Mus musculus: one gene and its partners. The protein of the gene in region 1 interacts with the protein of each later gene in a pairwise test. Links are inferred from orthologs where the notes say so. Each region holds a gene or a part of one and is shown in the gene's direction. Other genes may lie near its edges.

Region 1 (3,500 bases):
TTTCTTAGGACTTCCTATGTTTAGTTTTTGCCATTTTTATTTTGTGACCCTTTCACCTCTGGCTAACTCCTAATTATTTTATTCTTTTTACATCTCCTTCATTCTTGCCAAGTTCCTTTTTTCTAGGCCTTTCCAGTTACAGATACTGACTTTAACATGCACCTATGGATCGAGCATTGGACTTAGTCTGGTAGTTATTATGGATGGTGGATGCCTTCAGTAGAGTATTTTGTTAGGTGGTCTCACTGTGATCTTTAGTAGCTAGAAGTAAATATGATTTTTTTCTTAAACTACACCTGTAGTAATGATTTATTGTTGTTACATTACTACTAAGTTATTAATAAAGAACTTAAAAAAAAGTAGTATGCCAATTTCCTTGCTGTTTAATTTAGTGGCATATATAAATAGAACCAGCACAGAGAGTATTGTCCAAACAGCATATTACAAAGCTATACCTTTGATTAGCAAAATTGCTTTGTCACTAATGGCTGATATGCTAAGAGCTGAATACCTGAAGTCTTAGCGGAGCTGTAGTCCCCTGCCCACCTCTTTTTTGAAACAAGACTTTTACTATGTAGTTTTGACTGACTTGGAGCTTGGTTTGTAGACCACCCAAACTTGTAGTGATCTCCTGCCTCTGCTTCCTGAGCTCTGGGTTTATGGGCATGCACACTATCTCCATTTTTTTCCTTTTAGATTACATGTATGTATGTATATATGTGGAAGCACATGCCATAGCATGTATATGTGGAGGTCAAGAAGCTAAACTTGGGGGATTTGATTTTCTCCTTTCACCGTCTGTTTTCTGGGGACTGAATTCAGGTTGTTAGGCATGTCATCTTTACCACTGAGTGATCTTGTTAGCTCCGCCATGTTCATCTTTGACAATTTTTTTGATATATGATCTCATGGTCACACCTAACCTTCCTGCCTCTGTCTCACTAGTGCTGAGATTATAAGCTTGTGCCAACCATGCCTGTTTTTAATGTGGTATAGGGCTTGAGTCCAAGGCTGTATGTGTGCTAGGTTATCACTCTGTATACTAAATAGCTATAGCCTTAGCCCCTGACCTGTGATTTTAATGCCGCGAGGATACCAAATCTCAGTTGCCAACCTCTCTTAACTCTTTCTTTAGGGCAAGAGGATTATGACAGACTACGACCGCTAAGTTATCCACAGACAGATGTTTTTCTAGTATGTTTCTCAGTGGTCTCTCCATCCTCATTTGAAAATGTGAAAGAAAAGGTAAGTCAGGTTCTGCCCTTTGAAACATGCACAGAATTCCTGTTGCCCTGTTACAGTTTCAGTGGCTTGTGGATTAACAAAACATTTTAAAACCTTGCTTTTAGTGGGTGCCTGAGATAACTCACCACTGTCCAAAGACTCCTTTCTTGCTTGTTGGGACCCAAATTGATCTCAGAGATGACCCCTCTACTATTGAGAAACTTGCCAAGAACAAACAGAAGCCTATTACTCCAGAGACTGCTGAAAAGCTGGCGCGGGATCTGAAGGCTGTCAAGTATGTGGAGTGCTCTGCCCTCACACAGGTAAGGAGGGCTCTGGAACCTATGTCTCTGTAGTCAGTTGTTTTGAGCATTAGGATACAGAGGCTCTTTCCTTTTATTCTTTCTTTTTTCCCTTAAAAATTTGTCCGTGAATGTATACTGTGTGAGTGTAGTTCTGCAGAGTACATAAACTGACATGACTATTCCAAGGTATAGTTGAGAGGAAGGTTTTTTATTGTAGATATGAAGGAAAGACATCAGGAAGAATCCAGAGATGAGAGAGAAAATAGACTGAACATGGCCAGCAAACTGGACTTGGCCATGGTGGTGGTGGGGTTTGAAGGAAGAAGAGAGAGGAGGACCAAGAGAGGGCTGAAATAGAAGGGAATGAGAAGCTGGAGGTGGAGTGGGGTGGGGTGGGATGGGGGCTTCTGAGCTGGAGAAGTTGAGGGTAAGGAGTGGGTGGAGGTCAGCATGCACTTGGTTATGCTAATAGGCACCCTAGGTAGCAATTTGTCCCTTCTGCCAGTGATAAGGAAATGACTTCCTGAGGAGTGAGGGCTTTTTGTCCATCTGTCAGAATTTGGCCCTGACATTTCAACCTTTTGTTTATGATAAGGGCAACATAATCTCTTCTGTAACTGCTTCTTAGTTGAAATTAGGACATTGATGTCAGAGCTCTGGAAGACTGGGATGCCTGTTTAAGGTTGGGAGATTCCAGTGCTCTGAGCAGTCTGGAATGACAGAGACCACTATCTAGACAGTTGTCCCAGATTCCTGTGGTCCTGTTGCACTGTGGTCAGAGGTGGTCTTTGGCCATTAGGCCAGAAGAGGGAGGCCTTTTTTTTTTTTGTGGAGAAGGAACATGGGAGAGACTGACCTCATCTTGTCTTCAGCAACACTTAGCAATAAATCATAGCAGTAAGTTTTCCCGTGTCCGGTTTGCCCACAGTGCAGGCTGGGCCCTAGTGGGCAAGGCAGGGGCCAGTCTGTCCACTGGTCAATGTACTCTAATCCAGGTTTAGTCTTTTGTCATTCTGCCTATATCTTCTTGAAGAACTTGCAGAGGTGGGTTGTGTATCACTGTTAGGATTTGGGAGTCACTGTCATATAATAAGTTTAAGCATATTAAATGCCATAGTCAACAGGTCTCTGACAGGCTTGAGGGCTAGTACCCACCGAGCATATCTGAGTTAAACAATCTTTGTCTGTTTTCAGGTATCTGCGCTAAACTGTACCTTGCAAACATAAAACAAGGGGCTAAGTAAAACTTCATCTTGTAATTACGTCAATTCATAGAGAAACCTCAAATATATTTTTGGACACATTAAAAGATTTGATCATTTATTTATAAGGTTACTATCAACTTGCATTTCTTTTTTTTTTTATTAAGATTTATTTATTTATTATATGTAAGTACACTGTAGCTGTCTTCAGACACTCCAGAAGAGGGTGTCAGATCTCATTATGGGTAGTTGTGAGCCACCTTGTGGTTGCTGGGATTTGAACTCAGGACCTTCAGAAGAGCAGTCAGTGTTCTTAACCGCTGAGCCATCTCTCCAGCCCCTTCACTTGCATTTCTTAATTATCCTTAACAGTTGACAATAATTTAGTAGCTTCCTAAGATTAGGACTTTGTGGGGCTTTTTGTTTGTTTGTTTGTTTGTTTCTTTGTTTTCGAGACAGGGTTTCTCTGTGTAGCCCTGGCTGTCCTGGAACTCACTTTGTAGACCAGGCTGGCCTCGAACTCAGAAATCCACCTGCCTCTGCCTCCCAAGTGCTGGGGTTAAAGGTGTGAGCCACCACCGCCTGGCTAGGACTTTGTGTTTTATCTCTGTTAAGTTTAGATTTAAAAATTAAGATTTTGATTTTGCTCTTCTAGTATCAAAATAAAATTTCTAAATCTATAAATATAGTTTATAATTAGAGACTGGGCACATTTCTGACCTTTATAGAACATAAAAGCTTCCTTGGTAGCCTGTTTCTGTGGTCAGCT
Region 2 (2,878 bases), on another chromosome or scaffold:
TAGAGTGAAATCACACACACACTGGGCTGCTTTGCAGCAGGTGCCAGGGGCAGAAGCTGTTATTTGAACAAAGGCTCCTGTAACTTGGCAAGTTGACCCAGGTGTGAATGCCACGGAGGTTTTGGCAGGACAACTCACCAGGGGACCATGGGTAACTTCTGCCCCCTCGTGGCCATGTAATGCATTACAGTCTTGCTGCCACTATAGGCACAAGGAACTCCATCACCTGTCAGGCCTGGGAGTCCTGGAAGCGAGAGTTGGGCAGGTAAACTTTTGGAAGACACAAGCCTGTCCTGCCAGCCTGTGATTTCTCTGTTCTGGCCCTGGCTTCTGGCTCTTTCCTGTATCTACAGATCACCTCAGGTGCTTTGAGTTTACCTGTAGCAATCAGTCGGCATCAGAACCAGGAACCATGACCCAGTCCACACCAGGGACTGAGTGTCAAGATTCAGGTTAGGGTTAGTTTCACAGAGAGAGTATAGAAGGCTGTGGGGTCCTTACATTAGAAAAGCAGGCAAAATGGAGGCCAGCAGGTGTGTGTGTCTGTGTGTGTACAGCTTACCAAGGGTTTTCCTGACTCTTTGTCTCCAAGAACAGATTAGGGACCCCACCCCTGACCTTCTCCCCATTTCTCTGCTAGGCCTGGAGTCTGGCTTCTGCACCATCTCACGCCTGCCACGCGTGGAAAAGCACAGCAACCGTGACCGTGACCGTGACCCGGACCATTCTCAAGACCGAGAGCAAAGTTCTTTCCCCTCTGAGCCTACCCCTAACCCTGAGCTCCGACGCTCTGACTCTCTCTTGTCCTTCCGTTTTGACCTTGACCTTGGGCCCTCACTCCTCAGTGAGCTGCTAGGGGTCATGAGCCTTTCAGAAGCTCCAGCTGCTGAAACTCCAGTCCCTACTGCCAACCCCCCTGCTCCTGCAGCAAACCCTGCCCCTACTGCAAAACCCCCAGCCCATGCGATAACCACTCTAGATGCTGTGACAAGCCTTCCAGCCTCTGCTGTGACAAGCCTTCCAGCCCCTGCGGTGGCAAGCTCCCCATCCCGTGGACATTTCCCCAATGGGGTAACTTCTGTGTTGGGCCCTGCGGCTGAGGCAAAGCCCAGTCCTGTGGGAGAGGGTCCCCAGGTACCCTCCAACATGGCCTTTGACAGGCATGGAGCCAGCTGGGGGGCCAGCCGGGCCAGCTGGGGGGCCAGCCGGGCCAGCCGCCACTACACTGAGATGGATGCCCGGCGGGAGCTGGCAGGGGTGTTACCCCAAGTTCATGGCTCCTGGGAGAGTCTGAATGAAGACTGGAGCGCGCCTCCAGCCAGTGTCAGGGCTCCTGTGCCCACCTCGGTGCAGGTCAATGCCTTTGAGTTTGCTGATGCTGAGGAAGATGACGAGGTCAAGGTGTAAGGGACTGGCCATGGGCTCCAGGTCCTGTCAGCCTCGGGGCTCACAGAACAGAGGGGCTGAGTTCATTTGCCTAACAGCTACAAGATGTGGTCAACGGGAGTTGCCCCAGATCCTTCCTGGTCTATGCAAGGCAGGCATGGGTCCCCGCTGACCTGACCCAGCTCCCTCCACTGTCCCTAGGCCCACTAGCCCTTCAGTTATAACCTACGCCACCCCCTGTGGTCTGACAGTATGGTCTTTGTGCCCCAGGACACTTCCCTAGTGGGGTGGGGGTTGGGGCAAGGACCACATAGGGCCATTGTCTGTGAGTGGGACTGGCTGCCCCTACTCATTGAGAGCTACCGCAGAAGGCCTCCACTGTGTTCTCAGTAGCGCGGTTCCAGGCTCCTCCTCAGTTCCCAGAGAAAGGTCAGGCGTGACACAGGAGCAAATCTTCTGTGTACCCCAGACCTGCCTCCCATACCTGATTGTTAAAGCTTCTCTGTTAAGATCTGCCTGCCCAAGGAGGCAGGCCCGGCCACGGCTGACCTGTGCTTTCTCCTCCTGAGAGTTTGGAAAGTTGAGGACCCCCTTCTGGCGCCCCCCCCTCTAGCTAGGAGAGAAGGGGGGCCAGACGAGCTAATGAGTAACCAGCCTGGAATGTTCAACGATAAGAAGCCCAGGTGGGACCCTTATCTGCAGTTCCTGGAACACCCTGGCCCCAGGTGCCAGGAACCAGTATCTGCCCCATAATCCCATGGGGCTGCTTGGCAGGTGCTCAGATCACCGGGAGGGAGACAGGTCCCCATGCAGAGGGTGGCTCAGGAGCACCTCCCATCCTCTCTTCTCAGCAGTACTATACCCCGTGCCTCAGTTTCCTGCCCCCCCCCCCGGTACCAAAGCCGGGGTGGGGGGGAGCATTAACATGCGTGGAAAATGCTAACAGTTCTTGCTGTGGAAATAATAAATGTGGATTCTTTTATTTGACCTTGACCTTGGGGAAAAGCACAGACCCTAAAGGCTGTGGTTCTGGTGGGGGCTTGCTGGAGGGCTGGCTGAAGCTGGTTCTGGGGGCTAAGGTCTTCTGAGGTGCCGCTCACTCCAGTTTGAAGGAGGAGATCTGGAGCCCACCCATGCTCAAGTAGTGCAGTTGGTTGTGGCCCAGCCTGTTGGGGAAGGTCAGCTGGTGTCCGTCAGGCAACGTCACCTTGAAGTCTTTATCTTGGAAGGTGATGGTGATCTGCAGGGAGAGGAAGCTTATCAGGAGAGCCAGGGAAGGGTCCTGACAGGTGCCTGGTGGCGCTCCCCAGGTTGGGGCTGGAGGGCCTTGGTTGGGTTCTCCTTTGACCTCACCTTGACCTCTGACCCTGGACTGAAGCACATGTGATTTTCTCGTTGCTCTTGTCCCCAGCGGCCACCTTCACTGGTGTTACAGACAATGGTGGATTCATCGAAGCGAGGGTTAAAATGCAGGTTGAGGGTTTCTTTCCCC
Region 3 (4,060 bases), on another chromosome or scaffold:
GTTCAGAGACTACTTCAAAATATTGATATGCATAAACATAAAAACGCAGCTTTGGAAGATTTGTACTTTGAGCGTCAAACCAGGGAATTGTGGGTGGCACAGAGCTCAATAAACCAGGCTCATCCAGTTGGAGGACCATGAGCCTCCTGAAAAGCCAGCTTGACACACTTCGTTGGGCACACCTGTGTGTAGGTGGAAGGCCAGCCAAATTCATCATACAGTAAGAGTGGGGATAGTCACGTGGCTTTTTGTTTTAGAATAGTTCTGCATAGAAGAGCAGCTACCTGGATGTAGGGTAATGATATTGCAAATCCATCTTCCTTAGAGATAAAAATAAATGAGCTTGAAAGAACACTTGGTTTGCTTCAGATTGATGTATAGCCAGAGGGTATGCGTGCTTGTGTAAAATAACTGGGCCACAACTGAAGATGGAGAGTGGAGGCCATTGGATTCCTCATCTTTTAAGTTTGATGACTCTCCGGAGCCAACAGCTGTTTCCTGGATACCACAGGGGCAGGTGTGGCCAACAGAGCAGGCCAGAAGCGATGGCTTTTGTGGGATTAAGCTATAGAAGTCCCCGTAGTGCCCCTTAAATTCCTGCCTCCCCTCAGTCTGAGGCTACACTCAGAAGAAGCCAACATGGAGTGCCCTCACGGAGTAGCAGGAACTGAGACTCCTCAGGAGGAACTGGAGTGGCTGGCACAAGCACACGACCGGGAACCCCCCCAGCCAGGCCCTCCACTAAGGAGGCTCCATCCTCAGCGTCGTGAAACACGCCTGGCGGTGATGGTGCACGCCTTCAATCTCAGCATCCTGGAGGCAGAGGCGGGCGCGTCTCAGGGATGAGGTTCAAGATAGGCAGGCAGCCCGTTCCAAGGAAAACCGCTCCTCACAGCAAAACCATACAACTTCTAACATACGGGGGCTCGGGGGGCACGCAGTCCCCAGAGCAATGCGCCAGGCAGCACAGCTACAGGGCACTGCGGTCGGTGAGGACTGTGGTTCTGTTGACTCTGAGGACAATGGGACAAGGGCCAGGCACGGCAATCAGGGAACCCTGGGAGCCACAGAATGGCCGCGCGACGCTGCTCTGGAAGAGCCGGCTCTCGTGTCCCACAAACCCTCGCACCCGGCATTCGGCAGAAGGCGCGAGGGCGCCGGCCCACGCGGGACGCGCCCACGAGGCCCGCAGCAAAATGGCGACGGCGCCGACCCGCGCCCCCTGGCGGCGCATGCGCAAGGCGACCCCGCCCGCGAGAGCGGAAGTCTTGTGACCCCGGAAGTGACCGTCCGAGCGGCGGGCGGCGGACGACGTTCGTCATTTGGTGCGGGAGGGAGCGCGAGAGCGGCGGTCGAGCCTCCGGTGAGTGGGCGCGTGGCGCAGCGCGGTGCAGTGCGGGAGGGGAGTGGGTTGGCTTTGTGCGGCGTCGCGGGCGACTGCGGCGCTCGCGGGCGGGGCGCGGTCACCCGGGCGGGCGGGCGGGGCGGGCCAGGGCGGCAGCGCAGGTCCTGCCGGAGGGGCCGCGGCCCCCCGGGCCTGCGCGCCTGCTACCAGGGGACCCCCTTCCTCGGCCTCGCGGGCGGGGTCCGGCGCGGGGCCTGGCCCGGGGCTCCCGCCGCGCGGCCCCGCCCCGCTCGGATTGCGGGCTCTACGGAAGTGCGGGCCGCGCCCTGATGCTGTCGCCGGCGGCCACGCTTGGCGTCGGGTGGGGTTGTCTGTAGCCTCCGGGTTTCGGACCGCCGCTTTATGTGTTTCCTTGGCGGACACCTCTCAGAGGGACAACGGCCGGGCTCTTCCCGGGACCGCTGCGCATTGCCTGTAGGCATCACAGTGGGTTTCCGAGAGACGTTTGGGAATCTGCGGAACTGAAAGGCATCTAGGCGCTTCCGTCCTGGTTGGTTCCTCACCGCCACTAAAGGTTTAGGGTCAGGGCCCAGAAACAGGCTCCTGAGATTTATTTGCAAGCGGTGCACTAGCTCCCAAGTTGCATACGCAGACCCTCACTAGAGAGGACAGACCTGCGTATTTAGGATCCCCTTTGGGCTCTTGGGATTTAAGCGGTCATCACATAGTTGAGCTTAGGACAGTATTCCATTGGAAGGGACGAACAAACAGACCCTTGTCCTGCACGTGGCTAACATACAGAGCATCTCCCTGTCGGAGAACTTACCTCCATGACCCAACCCAGTAAGATGAGAGCCTGGGCAGCTAGGGACAGCAACAGGACCCCAGGGATTTAGTGTTGCGTCTGCCAGTTCAGTTCGGTCTGGAGGCTTATTCTTAGTGGGGAGGAAAGGTGTTTTGCTTCTCTGAGGAACAGGCTGTGGTCCCATTTCGTTGCTTGGGGTTCTAGTCCTCTCAAATGGGCCTCTGCGTAGGGCAGTGGCAGCATCCTCTCAAAGTTCCAGTCAGGTGTCCTGCAGGTGTCAGGGTCTGCCTAGGGTGGAATGCCTCCAGGCTGTCACAGTCCTGCTCATGCCCCGCCCACAGGTGTCCCAAGCTAGAGGTAAGCATGGCAGAACAGGAACCCACTGCTGAGCAGCTTGCGCAGATAGCTGCAGAGAATGAGGAAGATGAGCACTCTGTGAACTACAAGCCTCCAGCCCAGAAGAGCATCCAGGAGATCCAGGAACTGGACAAGGACGATGAAAGCCTCCGAAAGTACAAGGAGGCCCTGCTGGGCCGAGTAGCTGTCTCTGCAGGTAGGTGGCTTGGAGGAAGGATGTCATCTAAACCTGTGCCCAGTCTCTTTCCAGACCACTCTTCCAAGGAGTGAGTTTAAAAAGAAAAATCTTAAGGGATGGGACTCTGACTCTTAACTCTCACTCTGCAGACCCCAACGTCCCCAATGTCATTGTGACTCGACTGACCTTGGTATGCAGCACTGCCCCAGGCCCTCTGGAACTGGACCTGACAGGTGAGTGGGTATTAGAATCCCTGGGTGGGGCCAGCTGGCATCTTGCCTCTACCCCTAAAAATAATTTTCTGCACTGATGCCCTCTGGTGGAGAAGAGGGGAAGTGCAGCTAGGGGCTTGCCGAAGCTCTGCTTTGTGTCAGGGAAGGGGCTGGGGAGAGTGAATGTAGCAGGGTGGAGAGCCCTTCAAGCAAGCAGTCAGCGGAGACTCCTCCTCAATACAGGTGATCTGGAGAGCTTCAAGAAACAGTCGTTTGTCTTGAAGGAAGGTGTGGAGTACCGGATAAAAATCTCTTTCCGGGTAAGGTGGGGGCTTTGAGAGGCCTGGAAACAAGGGGCAGAGGGGCAAGCCTGGGAAGGCAGCTGACCCTGGCTCTGTGTCCCCACAGGTGAACAGAGAGATCGTGTCCGGCATGAAGTACATCCAACACACATACAGGAAAGGGGTCAAAAGTGAGTGGGCGGGCCATAGAGTGGGGAGCCATTGGGCCTGGGAGGGGCGTGCAGCACCAGTAATCCTGCCTCTCCTGTCCCTCAGTTGACAAGACTGACTACATGGTCGGGAGCTATGGGCCGAGGGCCGAGGAGTATGAGTTCCTGACACCCATGGAGGAGGCTCCCAAAGGCATGCTTGCTCGGGGCAGTTACAACATCAAGTCGCGCTTCACAGATGACGACAAGACTGACCACCTGTCCTGGGAGTGGAATCTCACCATCAAAAAGGAGTGGAAGGACTGAGCTCCAGCTGGGAGACGGGCAGGGCGACGGACAGACAGAAGGACCGACATGCCCCACCCTAACCCCCTACCTACCCCAAACCAAAGTGCTGACAGGACCTCCCTCACCCGTCATTCCTCCCTAGTCCACTCAGGCAGTCAGCTCTCCTGTCTGCCCCTCCTCCACCTCCTGCCCGCAGGCCCCTGTGGTCTCCAGTGTCACATTGCTGCTTCTGCCTGTGCAGTGGGGGAGGGGTTCCAGCCCAGGCCTCCAATCTGCTGTGTCCCTCCAGGTTCCCTCTGTCTTCCCTTCCTCAGGCCCTGGCTTCTAGAATGGAACAGAACACTGTCAGGGTTGTCCAGCCCACCTTGTCTCTGTCGCAGCATGGGGAAGGGCTGGGCTATCTGTCCTCTAGTCCCACCACTCC
Region 4 (4,060 bases), on another chromosome or scaffold:
GCAGAGTAACTTCTAAATTTTCATTGTCTATTCTTAGAGATAAAATGATTAGTAGATACACACATTTAAAAGATACACTTTCTTTAAACTACCTGGACACACCCAAATACCCTTTGTCCAGATCCCCCCAAGAGCATTCAAGGCCTAATCCACAGGGCCTTGCTGTGTCATGCTGCCACCATGCAGTCTAAGGAGGGATGGTGGTGGATGAAAATGGAGGCTTCCTGGTATTTCTCATGTTGCTCTAGGATTTTCCTATTAGCCACAATCCTCCCCTTTTTCTAGGAGGAGCTGCAAAGACAAATCTGCTGTCATAAGTAGTTCCTGTGAGCTACACTGATTGCAGCATGCCATCGGGCAATCCCACAATGGCTCCCACCTGTCCCACCTAAAGCCTCTTTGGAGCAAAAATCTGAGATAGGGAGGAGATTGTTAAAGGTTCCAATCACTCTCAATAGCATCTCATGTTTAAAAAAAAAAAAAAGTACCCTACTCCCCAAACCTCCCTACAAGAGACAGAAAATCGAGGGGGATAGAAATACAAGGGAGTAGAGGCTACAATAATTACAGTAGGAATAAAGATTCACCAAATAACTGGTAGCAGAAATTATAGCTTGAAAAGGAAGATATAGATAACTAGACACTAGACAGAAGCCATTAGATGCACAGGGCAAAAATTATAGGAAAATGAATACATGAAATGAAGAGCTAAATGCCGAGAGATGATTACAGGTAAAGTGCTAGAAATGAATGCCTAGGTCCATGGTAAGGCATGGATGGAGATCTTAACAGATAAAAAATCTGGTAACGAATAGTAACCCATTGTTCATAGCGCCCCCTTCTCTCCTCTTAAACTGCCCCCCACCTCGGTCTCACACGGGGTCTTTCAAGCTTAAGAAGCGGTCCCTCGTCTTGGTTACCTGTTAGCAATGAATGACTAGGGTGTTCCGAAGACGGAAGGGATGCCTCAGGGGCTCGGGGGTCGGCTCTGGACTGGAGAGGAGGAGGCTGCTGAAGGAAGCTGTCGCGGATGTGACGGCTTTGTCTCCTCACGCCTTCTCCCTCGTCTGTGACAGAATCTGCCGCTGGGTCTCCCCTGCAATGCAGCCCCTCCTAGCAAGGGCGGAAGCACTCCCCGCCCCCTCTCTGCCTGACTCGGCTAATTCGAGGGATAGGTTCCGGAACACGCTATCCACCGTAGAGCCTCTCCGTCGGCTCGCACCGCACCCCCACCTCTCCAAGTACCCTCGTGCTGACTGGAGCGCATGGCTGAGCAGTTAATTGTCCTCTAACTTAGATGTATGGGTTAAAAAGTCTTCCGGTTAAACAACAGAATGGCCCTCCTTTCCCACTGTAAGGACTAAAGGGGACTTTGGGAGACTCAGAAAGGGCCCCAGCGCATCGTCCTCTCAGCGCCTGCAGCAGGTGGACAGACTAGCACAGACAGTTGGGGTGCCGCGGTTGTCCCCGAGCGCGGTGCTTGCCGCTGTCCCCGCGGGCCACGCCGTGCGCCCCGAAGCTGGGCGGAGCGCTGCGCTCCGCTCTCAGCCCCTGGGTTTCGTAATCGCGTCGCCGGCGTTTCCGCCCTCCGCCAGCCCCACCTCTGCCGGCCCGCCCTCAACTCCCCGCCGTGCCGAGAAGCAGCCAGGGGACCCGGAGTGGCGGAGCCCCCGCCCGCAGTGGGGACGCCGGGGAGCCGCAGGTAAGAGCGCCGGGCGAGCCGGGCTGCGCGCGGGCGGCGGGGAGGGGAGGGCAGGGCAGCGGGGAGGTCGCGATCACAGTACACGCGCGGGCGGCGCAAGCCACGGAGAGGCAGGGAAGCGGCGACTGCAGCGTGGGGCCGGGTGGAAGGTGCGAAGCGACAGGGGCTCCTCGCCGGCCCTCTAACCTGAGAGATCTGCTGTGCTAGAGAATCCGAAGTGGTGCTGGGCCCCGGAAGGTCTAAGCCAGAGTGAAGCAGCCACGGAGAACATTGACAGAGCCAGTACAATTCATCGAAGTTCCCATCCTGGGTCGCAGTGGGTGGGGGACGGAGCTGGAGTCTGACGGAGAATATTGGGGGAGGGGAAGAAATTAGGATCTCCTTCTGTTAACTTTTAAGTATCCCCAGCCCTTCCCTGGGGTTAGGGCAGGGTTGGTGCTCGGACAAATATCTGTAACTTGTTTGAAAATGGGGCCCATTCCTCTCTTGGGAGTCCCTCAGCAGCCCGCTATGTTTGGAGGGTCTCCACACAGGGACCAGCTGCATCCCCGGGCTTATAGCCAGAATTTGCCCACACGATTCTCAAGTCTCTTTCTCTCCAGCTGCTTCTTGCTTCTTGTGAAGGCTTGTCAGACAGCGGGTTGGAGAGGGAGGCCTTGGGGCCGGAGGCAGCGGGACCGGGAGAACCGGTTTGGGGCTACCACAGGCTCGGGGAACTACCTGTGTACATCCTTCCTCCCCACCTCTCTCCTGCTCGCCCCTCTACAGCTCTGAAGTGTGTAAGGCCCACCGGGACGATGACGGTGGTTTAGGGTTTGTCATTTCAAGTTCTGGGTTTCTGGTGGAAGTGAGAGGGGCCCTCCTGTCAAGGATGTGGCTTTCTGCGCTTTTGTCCCTGATCCCTCCTGGCTTCCTTTTTACTGTGGGGATGAAGTAGTGGGCCATGGATTCAGCATCCCACCCTCCCCAGCTAGCCAGCTCAGGCTTTATTTGTTCCCAGCCCATTCGTTGGCTGCTTTGAAGAGGAGTGACAGCCAAAGCTTAGTACTTCCTTTTCTGGCTTTGTTCCTCCTCCCCCCCCCCCCACCCCACCCCACCCCACCCCCAACTCCCGCACTACCACAGTGACCCTGGCTGGTCTTCACACTCTGACACGGGCCTCCAAGTTTCAGAGACCCTAATGTCCTAAGGGAATGGAATTTCCTGGTCACTTCTCATCATCATTGGTGGTTTCACGCCAAGTCCCACACACACTTTCCCTCCACCCAGCTTGGTCAGGTCCCTGGAAGAGAAACAGAACTGTCCTTGTTCCCTCCTCGGCCCCCTTTCCTCTCCCTCCTCCTTCCCGCTTCCAGCATCGGCCACCCCTGACCACGCCGCCGGCTCGGCTCGCTTGGGGCAGGGTGGAGGACGTTGGTAGAGCCCTGCCTCAGTCTGGACTATCTGGTAGTGTTAGGGGTTTCCTCTGATTCTTTATTGTTTTCTCCATTTCCCCCAAGCCTTACCACCTGCCACCATCTTGATGAGCCTTGTGACTGACTTTCCCACTGACCAAGCCTCCCCTCTCAGGGCAGCTGTGCTCTGGACTTCAGTCTCATTACTCCTCCCTTCCAGGGGTGGGAAAGGAAGTGAAAGAGAGTCCAGACTCTTGGGTTCTTTCCTACCCTAGAAGCCTTATTCCACTGTTTGAGTGATCTCATCTCAAGGCTGCTACAAAACAACAAAGAAAAATGTCCAAAAAACAAATTGAACTCGGTTTTTTGTTGGTTTTTTTTTTTTTTTTTGGTCTGTCTAGGCTACTGGAAGGCTAGGCTTCCAGCCTCAAGCCTGGAGGGAAAGGTCCATTCTTATTCATGCTAATGTTTAATATTCATGAGCTGTGCTACCTCCCAGAGCTGGTCTGTACTATAGGAGAGGGAAGTGCAGTTCACACAAGGAAACTCAGCTGGGCCGTAACCCCTGGCAGCAGTGAAAGGGGAGAAAGTTCTTCCTTGGACACAAGTGCTACTGGAAAGTTCCTGTGTCTGGTTCACTGGTGGAGCTTCGAGGTGGTGGGGAGCAGAGTGGGAGACACAGGTCAGAGCATGAGGGGAAGATGAAGGGAGGCCTAAGCAGGCCCTCTGGGGTGTGAGGCAGGAGCTGCACACGATAGGACATGTGTAAAAGGGTGGGGAGGCTGGAAACTGATTCCTCAGAGCAGAAAGCTACTCTTCGAGTTACCCCTACAAGACATGGAGCAAGGGCCACGGGTGGGCCACGGGGAGGTGTCCACAGTCTGCCTAGCTTTCGGGAAAGACAAGGGCAGGTATTAGCTGATCTCTGGGAGGGGTGGCTGAGCTTCATCTGGGGCAAGTAAGA
Region 5 (4,137 bases), on another chromosome or scaffold:
TATCTCCCTAGCTTCCCTCCATCTTAAAAAAACAACAGGATCTTGTTATGAAGCTCTGTCTTGTCTGGAACTTTTTTTTTCCCCTTTTTTTTAGACCTGGCTAGCCTTGAACTTGTGTATCGTCCAGCCCTTTCATCTCAAGCCCTAGATTAGAGGCATGCACTCTTTGGTCACAATGAGGGCCGTTCTACGTCAAAGAAGGTGGTCTGAGACAACAGGGTTTTAGTCAGCTCTGTTTCCCCATGCAGTCTGGGACCTAAGAGAAAAGGCTGTGATGCCCCTGGTGGCCTTGAATGCCACTCCCAGGAGCCTGGGTTTATTTGGGTCAAAGATGAGAGGGGTCTGGGAGGTTTGAGAAATCAGTTGCTTTGCTGATTACAGTGGTCCTGGCTTAAGGGACTTAAGTCATACACAGACTTAAGGGAATGTATCCCCAGATCTCCAAAGCTAAGGAGTCGCCTTTTCTTTTCTTTTCTTCCCTTTTCTTTCCTTATGGATGGATGTTGTCAAGAAAAGAGAGGTAGGGAGGGCTGGGGAGGGGGGAGGGCGGAGTGGGGGGGGGGGCTGTCCACATTCTACAATCTCAGTGGAAAAGACTTCTCTGAGTAGATTCAGCAACCAGCAGAACCAGAGATGGCCTTCGTGAGTCACTGTTCAGACTTGCAAGCTCAGCTCTGGAAGCCCGCTGTGGTCAGCCACCCCAGGTTGGCTCCAGGCCTAGCCCCCCACTGTCCCGCACTGGGCCAGTGTCTGTCCCTGTTGCTGTTCCATGCCTTTCCCATCCCAGATACGTGTGCCTCACAGCTCTCTGCCTCTTCTGTCTGAGTCTGTCTGTCAGTCATTTTCTCTAACCTTGGTTTCCACGTCACCCACGTGGGAAGAGTTCAGGACGGGAGGGGCGGTGTGACTAGTCTTAGATACCCCTAAATATTTATTCTGTGCCAGGCCTGACATACAGAGCTCGAAATATCAAAGTGGACAATATTCAGTCTGCCTGCTTACAGGGCACATTCTGTGTGGAGTGAGAAAACCACAGCCTAGTTCTGCCTCTGTCTCAGCACGCGTGCCTGCGCTCCCCCAACCGCCTGCTGTGTTCAGAGGGCCTGGGTCAGTTAGGGCCTGAGACCTGATGCCTCTTATTTGCTTCATCCCTGGGAAGGGTTATGTTCCTCCCGGGAAGTCCATCTTCTTACAGCTCCTGGGGGCCTGGCTAGTGGGTGGAGGTGAGCCTCAGAAGCAGGAGGGAGGGAAGGAGAGAGGGAGGGAGGGGCAATGACTCAGTGGGGGTGGCCTGGGACAAGAACCAAGGACAGAAGCCAAGACTGGACCTGATGCTCACTGAAGCTAGAGGAAGGAGAGATGGAAGACATGCCTAGGAGCTGGGGCTGGAGAAGGACAACTCCAAGGCCAGCCTTGCCCCTTGCTCTTCAGAATCTGCCTTAGAGTCAGAGATGGGTGGGGACGCCTGTTGTTTCTACCATGGCTGCAGCTGATAACTAGATTCATGAAGGAATCGCCTGACTTAGAGCCAGGGAAGGCATTATGTCCAGTGTCCTCTCCTCCCAGGGACCAAGGCCATGGTGTGGGGGCTACATGCCTTTGTCTGGTTGCACAGATAACCTTTTTCTTATGATCTTTCCACAAATTCAAGAGTGTTAGGCCAGGCCCACTTCCTCCAAAAGGACCCCAGACTTTAGAGTTAAGAACGAGTAGGGGTCTCCCAGCTATCCCAGTGTCTTTCATCAGTTCAAGATTCCCTAACGAAGGGTGAAGTGGGAAGGCAGGGCATGAACACAGATATCTGATCCATCCATCAGGATTTCCCTGGTCCATCGGGCAACCCCAGGAGAAAAGAATGCTTTTCTTGTCTTACAGGAGAGGAAGATGAGGTGCAAAGAGAAAAGGGTCCCTGGAACAGCCCACAAGAGGTGAGTGATGGAACCAGATCTCAGCTGGTCTCTGGCCCCAGGGCACCAGCTTTCTTAGCCACCCTTTTCTGTGGATAGGGAAAAAGAACTCAGGGAATGAGGGTTTGAGCCTTATGTATGTTGGCAGGCCTGGGTCAATTCCCACCCAGAGACATAGCTACCTACCCTCTTCACCTTCCGGGTTTAACAAGTCATGGGATGTCACCGTTTATCTCTAATTTATTTCTCTGTCTTTTTGTTGTTTGTTTTATTAATTAAACCTGGGGGCTCACACAAGTCAGGCAAGGGCTCTGCTACTGAGTTACACCTCACAGCCCATCCAACCTGTTCCGTGGTGGGTGGGCCTGAGAACCTGAAGGGGAGATTCAGGCTACAGAGGAGTGGTGGTCCCTCCCACTATCCGTGAAGATTATCCACACGCAGCTACCAGGGCATAGGGAGTCTCTCTGGAGACGGCCCCTAATCATGGACTCACATGTGTGTGTGTGTGAGTGTGTGGTGGTGGGTGGTGGGACAGCTCTGAGGACCACGAGGGCTTGAGTGGTCCTCATCTTGTACATGGAAGCTGGGCAAGTATTCCCATGTCCCATCACGGGAATGGTAAAGGAGCCTTGCCCTCCTCCCACAAGGGCGTCCTTTGCTTCGTGCAAGAGCCTTCTTTCCATCGGCAGAGCCACGGCTCACTCACCCTTTCAGACAGTTCCAGCTCTGAGCACAGTGAGCACAGTGGAATGAATGTTGCCGGGGTCGGCAGAATGAGAAGTCAAGGGAGGGCTCGCCAAGTCTCCGAGGCACTGAGAGTAGGAACCCAGCGGCCGGCGGGCGCGGATGCTCTAGGCAGGGGGCAGTAGGCGTGGTCCCAGCTCTCCTCCGCACCCTCGGCCTTGCAGAGCGGCGCCTTCCGGAAGAACCTGTGATTCGGTCCTCCAGCCCCTAGAGAGCGCCGCGTCCACAGCGGCCTTGCGGCCCTTCGAGCCACCAGAAGGTGGCGCCCTTGGAATCTGGGCAGCCTCGCTGTACCCATCCTCGAGGCTGCGGTGCGTTTGTTCTTCGTTAGTTCGACGGCTCTGGTGGTGTAGCCTCCCGGCTTCAGAGTTCCCCACTGCACGTCCCAGGGGTGTGAGTGTGCGGGTGACCCGTGTGGGGCCGGGAGCACTGGGACAGGCGCCTAGGCCAAGGCCTGGCAGGGTGGGCTAGAGCGGAGAGCTGCGCGTGAGCCGGCTAAGCCTGTCGTGAAGGTGTGCCCGAAGGTATGGCCACCCAGTAGTGGTTCACGGAAGCGTAAGCCAGTCTTAGGCCCAAAGGAGACCCTGTTTCTTCCCTCACCAGCACACCAGGCTGGACTACTTTACTTTTACTTTCAGGGGACCTGGTACCCAGCCTAGCACTTCCTCCTAACCGCGGAGTCTTGCCCCACCATTTTCAAACCAGTTCCTGGATGAGCTGAAGTTTCCTTTCACGTCAAAGTCCAACCCGTTATCCACTTGTCCAGAGCAGACCCACTCTTACCAGGGAGTGATGGAAGGGCCTCTTGAGTGTGGGGATGTGTCCCCAGACTCCCAGGGCCATGTTGCAGATGGGAAGAGATTTGCTGTGTGCAGTTTCAGGAACACCCGGAAGGAGGAGGAACCTGCTCACGAGATACAGGCTATGGACCCAAGACCTTCAAGACCAGCAGCAGGGGCAACCCAAGGCGTAGGGCTACAGGGGGATTTCTTGGCCAAGGAGCCTCAATCGCTTCCGGAACAAAGGGCTGAGGATGGGCCACGGGGCTACCAGAGGAGCATAATAGGAGCCCCCCCAACCCAGTCAGAGGAGCCAGCCTTCTCTGAATTGGAAAACCTCTTGTGTTCTGGGTCCTCTCACCTTAACCTGACACAGGGTGACAATGACTATCGAGGGGAAGGCTTGATAGGGGACCCAGGTCCAGGCAGAACGCTGCCAGCTGGCTGTAGCCCTTTATCAGAGACATCACCAAAGCTACTGGAGGCAGGTAAGGGAGGCTGGGAAGTCTGGGGAGGGAATGGGGCTCTCTGGAGGTGGGCATTGACAGTTGGGAGGTCTCTGACCCTCCTCTGTCTGAAGCCCTAGTCTGTGGACAGTGTCTCTGGGCGAATGGCCCGATTCAGACCCAAGCCATTTCTCTTCCCAAGACCCTAGTGGATCCAGCTTCCCTAAGCCTGCTGACTGTCTCCTAGCTCGAGACCTC
Region 6 (3,500 bases), on another chromosome or scaffold:
TGAGAACCAGATAGGAAGAATTACTAAGAGAGGAGCAGCAAGATGCGAATTAGCATGTAAGATTTTCCTTAATGTTCTTTAACAGTGACGTGACAGTCCCTTGCTGCCATACTTCCTTACCTACTGTTTGAATTGTGAAATTGTGCTGGGTATGTCTGTCTTTCAGATCTATACTCGCTCCGTGGTTGAGTCAATTGCTTCACCAGCTGCACCAAATAAAGAAGATATCCCACCTTCTGCTGAGAATGCCAATTCCACCACTTTGTACAGGAATACAGATCGGCAAAGAAAAAAGTCCAAGATGACGGATGAGGAGATCCTAGAGAAGCTGAGTGAGTGCCTTCCCATCAGCAAGTAGTTCTCATACAGTGACTAGGAGGAGACTTGATCCTTTAGATCTTCCAATCTTCTTGTCGGACTCTAGGATCTCTTATGTCACGAAGTAATTTTTTAGGACTTTCTGTTTCTAAGAGTGGTTATTTTCTCCCTCATAGTCCTACTCTGACAGAAACTTAGCATTTTCACTTTGAATGGTCAAAATGGTCAATGAAGATGTAAAGGACAAAATATATTATGGTAGTAAGTTTAAGATTACAATACTAAAAAAGAATTAAAGTATGTCATGACTATACCAGAAGGTCCCCATTGATAGACATTAGTTTTTAAAAAAAAAATCAGCCTTAAAGTCCAATAGAGTACAATAGAAAACTTGCAGCCTCAGATAAAATAGCTTCCCCTATCTCGGTGGGGAGGGAGGCAGGAGCAGCAGTTGCTTCCAAGGTGTCATTGGTGCGCACATACTTCTGCCCTTTCCAATTTGACAAAGTACTCAAGATTCAAGATTCAGAAATAGGTTTTCCCCTGAAAAAAGTCAAGGTTCTATGAATTGTATTATTAAATTCATAAAGAATGGCTACATATTAGTAATCAGTGCTCAGTTTAACTCTTACAAGTGCCTTATTCCTTTTTTTTTTCCTCTGCAGGGTAAGATTTAGTAGCATAATGAGAGTAAAGGGGCTGTCACTTTTTACATTTTTTTTTTCAGCTAACAGAGCAGAGCAAAGGAAAAGAGAAAATTCATTTGCTGGCCACAAGGAGGCACTGTAGTCATGGCGACAGAGCCATTTTGCTACGAAGGAGCTAGCTTAAGACAATTTTTGGTTTCCCAACTGATACAGGACTGCTGTCATCTAGATGATGGAGGCTAGGGATACTGGTAGGGATCAGGATGCGACATCCCCTCCCTTGCCTTTCACAACAAAATTCTGATTTGGACAGAATAATTACTTTGTGTCTACTGCATTCAAAATAGCTTCATATGTAGCACTATCGTCATTTGAAATAGAGATGTTTGTGGCAGCCAAGGTTGAAGTTCAGCTGTCAACACTCAGACCTGGAATTGCTACAATTTAGCAAACTGACTTTGCTATCCTCCATTAAATATGCTTCTAGCTTTAGTGCCCATCATTTGCTCTAATAGCACAACCGCAATAATTCTTACACGAGGAGCACTTTGTGAGTGGCCACTTTCCATATATTATTTTCTCTACAGTCACTTATGGTAGATCTTAACGTCTACATTTTACAGAACACTGAATATAAATTTTAAAATGCTTAAGTGACCAAGTCACCATAATAATGAGTGGTAGAGGCAGAGTTTGACCTCACATCTTTATGCCTTTAAAGCGTGCACTTTTGCCCATTAGCCACTTCGGTTTTGCATAACTCAACTACTCGTTTTTCAAACAGAGGGGTGAGATAAAGAACCCTCAGGAAAATGAGGTTCAGTGATTCAGATAATCACTACAGTTCTTCCTTTGTTTTGTACATATGACATGAACTGTGAGACAGATTACATTAGACTTTTAAAATCTGACAGTCATGCATTAGTCAAAATGACTGTTCTCTGGTGTCTCTTTCGAACCTTAGCACATTCATTGTCATGAACATTGATTTATTCATTTCATAAGAAAGCTGAGAAATAGGCATTGCATTTCTGAGCCATGGTTTTTCCCTATAGACTGTGACAGTGATATGGATGGGACCTTTCTGGCTTATTTATCTTGGTCTGCATCAAGGAACAACAGGACAAACAGAAGAAGGCACTGAACTAACTGTTAATGAGAGCTAAGTTTTAATGAGAATAATTGTAAAGAAAAAAAAAGAATTAAGTGACTGTTTTTCTCTATTGGACTTTATACTTTATTAGAGTCCAGAGTCAATTGTTTTCGCTCTAGCAATCAGGCTACTTATATCTGCCAGCTTTCCTTTATGCTTATGAATCTTGCCAAGGAAAACCTACAGAGAAATGGAAAATGCTTTCTTAGGAAGTACACATCTCAAGTTCAGACCTTCCAGCCCCAAAATGCTCTACCATATCTATGCCCCCTCAATGTGTTTGCATACTGGCTGCCAGAAAGAAGTCATTTAACCTTGCCTGGTCTCTGTCTCTTACCTATGAAATGGGTGTAAGAATCATAAGTACATTTAAAAACTTTCTCTGTAGAATGTGTATCACAAGAAGACAGATACTGGAGACAGAAAGACCTAGATTCAAAACAATGACCTACTGATGCTATTTCTGTTTCAGCCTGTTGTTTAATTTTTTCTATTTCTTCATCCACAAAAGTTGGGATAATAATAATAATGCCACTTCAATGAAAACCTCTGGCTCACAGTGGGGGACTCAACAAATGCTCTTGGTTTCATTAGGAGTACAAACTTTGAAATGATAATGAGGTCCAAGTCATATCACAAACTCTGTGTCCCTTTGGAAGTCTCTTACCTTCTCTGAACTTCCAATAATAGTAATAGCCCCAATACAATGAGAGACTATTTTGAAGATTAAATAAACACATTCAAGTAGGTTAGATATCCAGGGCAATAATTAGTTTAAAATTATTGTTTTATTTCCGTTGTGCCATCATTACAGAATGGGAGTGATCTTCCAGTAGGATAGGGTGCTTATAACTGAGGACAATCTCGTAAGTGTGGTACCTACACAGAAGTCATTGATGTCATTGGAATCAAAAGTGCGAATTAATCTTGGGGAAGTAGTAGAGGAGCCTGTGCTGAGAGACAAAGGAATGAGGGTTGGGGAAGGAGGCAGAGAAGTACAGGGGTGCCCTTCCACCTACATGATAGTGAACCCTATGAGGATGAGAAAGAAATGGCAGCTTTTACTTAATCATCCTCATCTTCAACCTCAAGAATGTGATTGCTAGAAACTGTGCAAGCCAAACCACAGACAGAGCTACCAGGCAATTCATCTTCCATTCAGATACGGATGGTAGGGGCCAGACCAAGTAATCATTAATAGCTGAAGTGCACAGATCATCTTTCAGTTTTACACAGACAGATAGCTTGGGAATGGCTTGTTCATTGTGGTCTGTCTGGATCTGTTGGAAAATAAAGGAAACTCCTGAATGCTAGCAAATGTTTTGAAAAGGCATTGGCAGTCAGCACAATTTTGAAGTGCAGGAAACTCTGTTTAACCTCCC
Region 7 (4,058 bases), on another chromosome or scaffold:
GCACTTGTTATAGTTAAGTTTCCCCCGCCTTGTGATCAAGATTGGCCTTAAATTCACTCGCCACATAGTCTAGTTGTTTCAAATGGAAGTCTACCTGCGCGGTTTTTACTAGGTATATGCCAATCCTCTTGCTTTTTACTCTTAGGTTGTTTGTCACATGCCTTTGTACTAGCCTTTCTCTACTCCCATTTTCTTTCTGGCCAGTTTCGGTCCACCAAGGTTTTAACACGAGTTCTCCACAGGCCTGAAAGTCATTTGGGAAAAGTCCTCTTCTGCAATCAAGGACCCCCCCCCCCCCACTCCCCCGTTTGTGTTCAGCTCATCCCGTGTTATTTTACTGTGTTACCATTGCGGATTCTTTGTTTCCTACATCACAGCACTTCAAAAGAGCGGATATTTTTTCATTTTCTTCTAATATTCTGGATTTTACAGCATAGAAACAACTCAGTGAAAAGTCTGTGGAATGAATGGAAAGAAATACTTGGCCACGGGGGCGGGAACAAGTGGGGGGAGGGGCGTGCGTGTGTGGAAAAGGGGCGGCGCTGAGAATCCAGCTGCAGAATGAGGAAGGGGCTCGGACACACTAGAGTCTGCGTGGAGCGCAAAGCGATCCACTGCTTCCAAAAACTGAGACAAACCTAAGTAGGGAGGAGGCGTCTTACCTATTCCTCAGGCCTCACCAACCCAACCAGCCTTCAGGGAGCTCTGTACTGGCCGGAAAGTGAGACTTAAGGTCGTAATCCCAGAGTTTGCCTTTCCAACCTTACGACGTTTTTATGTAGTAATCGAGAATCTAACACGGAGGTCTCAGCCCTGCCGTAAAGTGAAGAAGGAATGGGGAGGCGGGGCCATTCGGAGGGTGGAAAATAGGCGTGTCCGCGCAAGCGCAGGCAGCCCGCTCCAGCAGCGTCACGTGCGGAGGCGGGGCCGGGCGGGGCTGTCCGGGGCTTGGCAGCAGGGGGCGTGGGAGGTAAGTGCGCGCGCGCCTGCTCGGCTGCTGCTGGAGAGCCGCGCGGGGCGGGGCCGCGTGAGCGGGGTCGGGGGCGCGCAGGCCTGAGAGGACTGGGGACGCAGAGGCAGTTGGCGGTGGCCGTCGGAAAGTCCTGGCAGGACGGGGAGGGACTGCGGCGGAGATACCGGTCCCCGGGCAAAAGCAGGGACCGCGGTTTAGCTTCCAACGCGTGCTCTCTGGGCGGGGTGCGGCGGGGGATGTGCCTGCCCAGTCCGGGCGGAGTCTCTCTGACAGGGCGGGGGATGCGCGGCCGCCGCTCTCTCGGACCCTGAGGCGACTGGGCCCACCCTCGCGGAACCCTCCTACCCCCCGGCGGCCTCGGCCTCTGCTTTCTCCTTCTGACCCTGGAAACCGAGCTGGGGAAGCGGCTACCGCCGAAGAGGAAGGGGCTGTGGTGGCCACCGCGGCGCAGCCAGAGGTAAGACCCGCCCCAGCACCCAGCGGCCCTGCCGCCTGGCCTGGCCCGGCCCACGTCTCCCGCTCGGCTCTTTGGCTCCCGGAGGGCTGCCCCGCCCCGCCCCGGCGGAGACGCCCCGCCAGCAGCTCTGCCCCTAAAGCCTAGCAATCGCCGGAGTACCGCCGGGATTCCACCCCCAGACTCGACTCTCCCGTACCTTTCATTGACCAGACACCATTCTGTCCACCAGTAGCCGCGGCGCTTCTGTCACTGGCCCCCTTCCACCTCCTGCTAGAACCTCTTTAGACCCTCTTTAGGACTCTGACTGGAACCTCTAGACACCGTTATGTCGGAGCGGATCCTTGTCTGGGAACCAAGGCCACTACTGCTTCCTAATGCATTGCTACGTCCCAGATCTTTGGGTATCCTACGAGTCATCGCTACCCGAGCTTTCATAGGGACCCTCACGCAGCTTACTTCCAGTCAGGTTTGCTAGGTTTTCCCCCTACCCATACGAGCTTTCAGATAGCCCAATGTCATGATGCTCTTACCTAGTAGGTCTCCGGTTAGCCCTTCAAATCACCATCAGAGTGCTGGATCGCCCCCTCACACCCCCCCCCCCCCCGCCCTGGTGTAGTTTCTCTAGAAGACCTCTTAAGCAAACCTTGTTACCTGATTTCTAACCAATCGGGATCTTTGGTTGAAAAGAAGTTTCCAGGAAAACTCGAAGGGGTTATTTACATAGTCCAGTATATTCACTCCATTGGATTTTAAGGAGTCAGACTGAGACCCATGTTTGGAGCCTCAGGGACTGGTTGCTGAAAGGGAAAGAGAGCAAAGAGTGTGAAAGCCCAGGCAGGGAGGGTATGTGTGCTGTTACAAGGGCAAGCTGCTTGCTCCTCATCTTGTCTCTTCAGTAGAAGGAAAGAACCAGTCTATATCTTGTCACTTCTGGGCTTCTGTAAGGATTAAGTTGCATTACACCAATGAAGATAAGTAACTCTTCATATATTTGTCTCAGCACTGTAGATTTGTACAGATACACAGGTTTTTAACTAGAGGAGTTTTGGATTTACTGTTTTTGAACTTGTTAGAAAAACAGCATTTATAGCTGTTCTTAATCCCTGAAGGCTAATGTTTTTAGTATTTTTTTACCACCCAGTCTTCTCCAAGGACCAAGTATAAGTGTCATTCAGAATTGAAGTTATTATTAACAGCTTTCTTAGTAGTAGTAAAATATTGAATAAAATGTTTGTTGAAATTATACTCCTGAGATGTCAAGAGGGAAGCGTAATGTTAAGTGTTAAGTGTATAATTTTAATGTTTATGTAAGGGTGGGGGATATTTTTGTAGTTAGTACTTACGGTTTTTTTTTCCTTTCATTTTTTTGTGTCTGTGTGTAATACAGGGAGAAAAACCAATTTACATTATGGGTATTAATGAGACACAGTTTAGAAGTCAAAACCATCAGAATAGTGTAGTAAAAAGTTTCTCTTTCTCCAATCTCCAATTGTTCATTTTCTATTTTTCAGCTTCTGTAATTGGTATGATGTGATATTTCCAGCGTTTATAAGCTTATATCTGTATTTTAAAGACACACAAACTATACACAAATTATTCCATTTTCACATACTACTGCTGAGTCCTAGAGATCATTCAGCAATAGTGTTCACGGAAGAGCCACATTTACTGGTTGGGTAGTATTCCATTTTGATGGACTTGGATTTATTTTTAGTCCTTTTTCTAAAAATTACTGCAAGCTTTTATTCTAAATGTACCAGGTATTATATGTATAAATGATTTTCATGGTTTGAAAAAATTCTGATAATTATTTTTGTATTGAACCTATAAAAAGAAGTGTATCTGAAGTAAACTTCTCATGGACTCTCTTGAGCTACAACTCAAGACTACTTTTAATGGTAATTATATTTATCAGATCAATTATTAAAGGATTTGAAGTGAGGGACCAAAATGTTCAGATGAGCATTTTTAAAAGTCACTTTAGAGCAGATTAAAAGTAGAATAAAGTTAAAGCCAGAAATATATTAGAAGGGTGATACCATAGTTCTGAATTTGGATATTGGTAGTTGACAAGTCTTGGTGATTTGATGGAAAAGCATACAGAGAGGACAAAATTGGAGATATTGTTCCAATCTTTCCCCTTATGTGAGGATCCATATGATGAAGATTTTAATTTTTAGTTGTGACATGTTAAATAAATGGCTGTTACGGGCTGGAGAGATGGTTCAGTGGGTAAGAGCACTGACTGCTCTTCCAAAGGTCCTGAGTTCGGTTCCCAGCAACCATATGGTGGCTCACAACCATCTGTAATGACATCCAATGCTCTCTTCTGTTATGTCTGAAGACAGCTACACTGTACTCATATAAATAAAATAAATCTTTAAAAAAATAAATAAATGGCTGTTATGTAGTGAATTTGTGTCAGAAATTCATAACATCAGGTTCTGTGCCAGTAGTAAATTTTGGAGGCAAAGATGTATAGTTACAAGGAAGAGATTTCAGGCAGAAACTCAATATTTAGAGCATATAAATACCTAGATTAAGTTCTTTTAAGAAATTATTAGTAGTGAAAAACTACAATCTAATGTGTTGTTTTTACCACTAGTATTACTGTTTTAAAGATTTATT

What was found.
Region 2: the proteins of Cdc42 (region 1) and Cdc42ep1 interact in binary tests that used the Homo sapiens proteins (3 or more experiments, as listed by UniProt). The link is inferred for Mus musculus from reciprocal best matches to the Homo sapiens genes CDC42 and CDC42EP1.
Region 3: the proteins of Cdc42 (region 1) and Arhgdia interact in binary tests that used the Homo sapiens proteins (3 or more experiments, as listed by UniProt). The link is inferred for Mus musculus from reciprocal best matches to the Homo sapiens genes CDC42 and ARHGDIA.
Region 4: the proteins of Cdc42 (region 1) and Cdc42se1 interact in binary tests that used the Homo sapiens proteins (3 or more experiments, as listed by UniProt). The link is inferred for Mus musculus from reciprocal best matches to the Homo sapiens genes CDC42 and CDC42SE1.
Region 5: the proteins of Cdc42 (region 1) and Plekhg4 interact in a two-hybrid assay, tested with the Homo sapiens proteins (2 studies listed by BioGRID and IntAct, with this or other methods). The link is inferred for Mus musculus from reciprocal best matches to the Homo sapiens genes CDC42 and PLEKHG4.
Region 6: the proteins of Cdc42 (region 1) and Pak3 interact in a two-hybrid assay, tested with the Homo sapiens proteins (2 studies listed by BioGRID and IntAct). The link is inferred for Mus musculus from reciprocal best matches to the Homo sapiens genes CDC42 and PAK3.
Region 7: the proteins of Cdc42 (region 1) and Myo9a interact in a two-hybrid assay, tested with the Homo sapiens proteins (3 studies listed by BioGRID and IntAct). The link is inferred for Mus musculus from reciprocal best matches to the Homo sapiens genes CDC42 and MYO9A.

Annotation. Positions count from the first base shown.
Region 1 is NC_000070.6:137,326,760-137,330,259, reverse strand, and holds part of Cdc42 (cell division control protein 42 homolog), read left to right. Parts: intron 1-1,135; coding exon 1,136-1,245; intron 1,246-1,349; coding exon 1,350-1,547; intron 1,548-3,500. UniProt on the Homo sapiens protein: Plasma membrane-associated small GTPase which cycles between an active GTP-bound and an inactive GDP-bound state. In active state binds to a variety of effector proteins to regulate cellular responses. Involved in epithelial cell polarization processes.
Region 2 is NC_000081.6:78,848,525-78,851,402, forward strand, and holds the end of Cdc42ep1 (cdc42 effector protein 1), read left to right. Parts: intron 1-640; coding exon 641-1,407; 3' UTR 1,408-2,378; downstream 2,379-2,878. Other genes in the region: Lgals2 (galectin-2), read right to left, coding at 2,483-2,626, 2,740-2,878. UniProt on the Homo sapiens protein: Probably involved in the organization of the actin cytoskeleton. Induced membrane extensions in fibroblasts.
Region 3 is NC_000077.6:120,578,825-120,582,884, reverse strand, and holds the start of Arhgdia (rho GDP-dissociation inhibitor 1), read left to right. Parts: upstream 1-1,260; 5' UTR 1,261-1,363; intron 1,364-1,637; exon of another isoform or gene 1,638-1,895; intron 1,896-2,491; 5' UTR 2,492-2,513; coding exon 2,514-2,703; intron 2,704-2,834; coding exon 2,835-2,918; intron 2,919-3,140; coding exon 3,141-3,217; intron 3,218-3,305; coding exon 3,306-3,369; intron 3,370-3,454; coding exon 3,455-3,654; 3' UTR 3,655-4,060. UniProt on the Homo sapiens protein: Controls Rho proteins homeostasis. Regulates the GDP/GTP exchange reaction of the Rho proteins by inhibiting the dissociation of GDP from them, and the subsequent binding of GTP to them.
Region 4 is NC_000069.6:95,227,164-95,231,223, forward strand, and holds the start of Cdc42se1 (CDC42 small effector protein 1), read left to right. Parts: upstream 1-1,260; 5' UTR 1,261-1,702; intron 1,703-1,779; exon of another isoform or gene 1,780-1,851; intron 1,852-1,888; exon of another isoform or gene 1,889-2,042; intron 2,043-2,445; exon of another isoform or gene 2,446-2,469; intron 2,470-4,060. UniProt on the Homo sapiens protein: Probably involved in the organization of the actin cytoskeleton by acting downstream of CDC42, inducing actin filament assembly. Alters CDC42-induced cell shape changes.
Region 5 is NC_000074.6:105,371,935-105,376,071, forward strand, and holds the start of Plekhg4 (puratrophin-1), read left to right. Parts: upstream 1-1,337; 5' UTR 1,338-1,884; coding exon 1,885-1,928; intron 1,929-2,818; coding exon 2,819-2,965; exon of another isoform or gene 2,966-3,047; intron 3,048-3,292; exon of another isoform or gene 3,293-3,446; coding exon of another isoform or gene 3,447-3,529; coding exon 3,530-3,921; intron 3,922-4,081; coding exon 4,082-4,137. UniProt on the Homo sapiens protein: Possible role in intracellular signaling and cytoskeleton dynamics at the Golgi.
Region 6 is NC_000086.7:143,735,091-143,738,590, forward strand, and holds part of Pak3 (serine/threonine-protein kinase PAK 3), read left to right. Parts: intron 1-166; coding exon 167-332; intron 333-3,500. UniProt on the Homo sapiens protein: Serine/threonine protein kinase that plays a role in a variety of different signaling pathways including cytoskeleton regulation, cell migration, or cell cycle regulation.
Region 7 is NC_000075.6:59,749,916-59,753,973, forward strand, and holds the start of Myo9a (unconventional myosin-IXa), read left to right. Parts: upstream 1-1,258; 5' UTR 1,259-1,430; intron 1,431-4,058. Other genes in the region: Senp8 (sentrin-specific protease 8), read right to left, coding at 347-349. UniProt on the Homo sapiens protein: Myosins are actin-based motor molecules with ATPase activity. Unconventional myosins serve in intracellular movements. Regulates Rho by stimulating it's GTPase activity in neurons.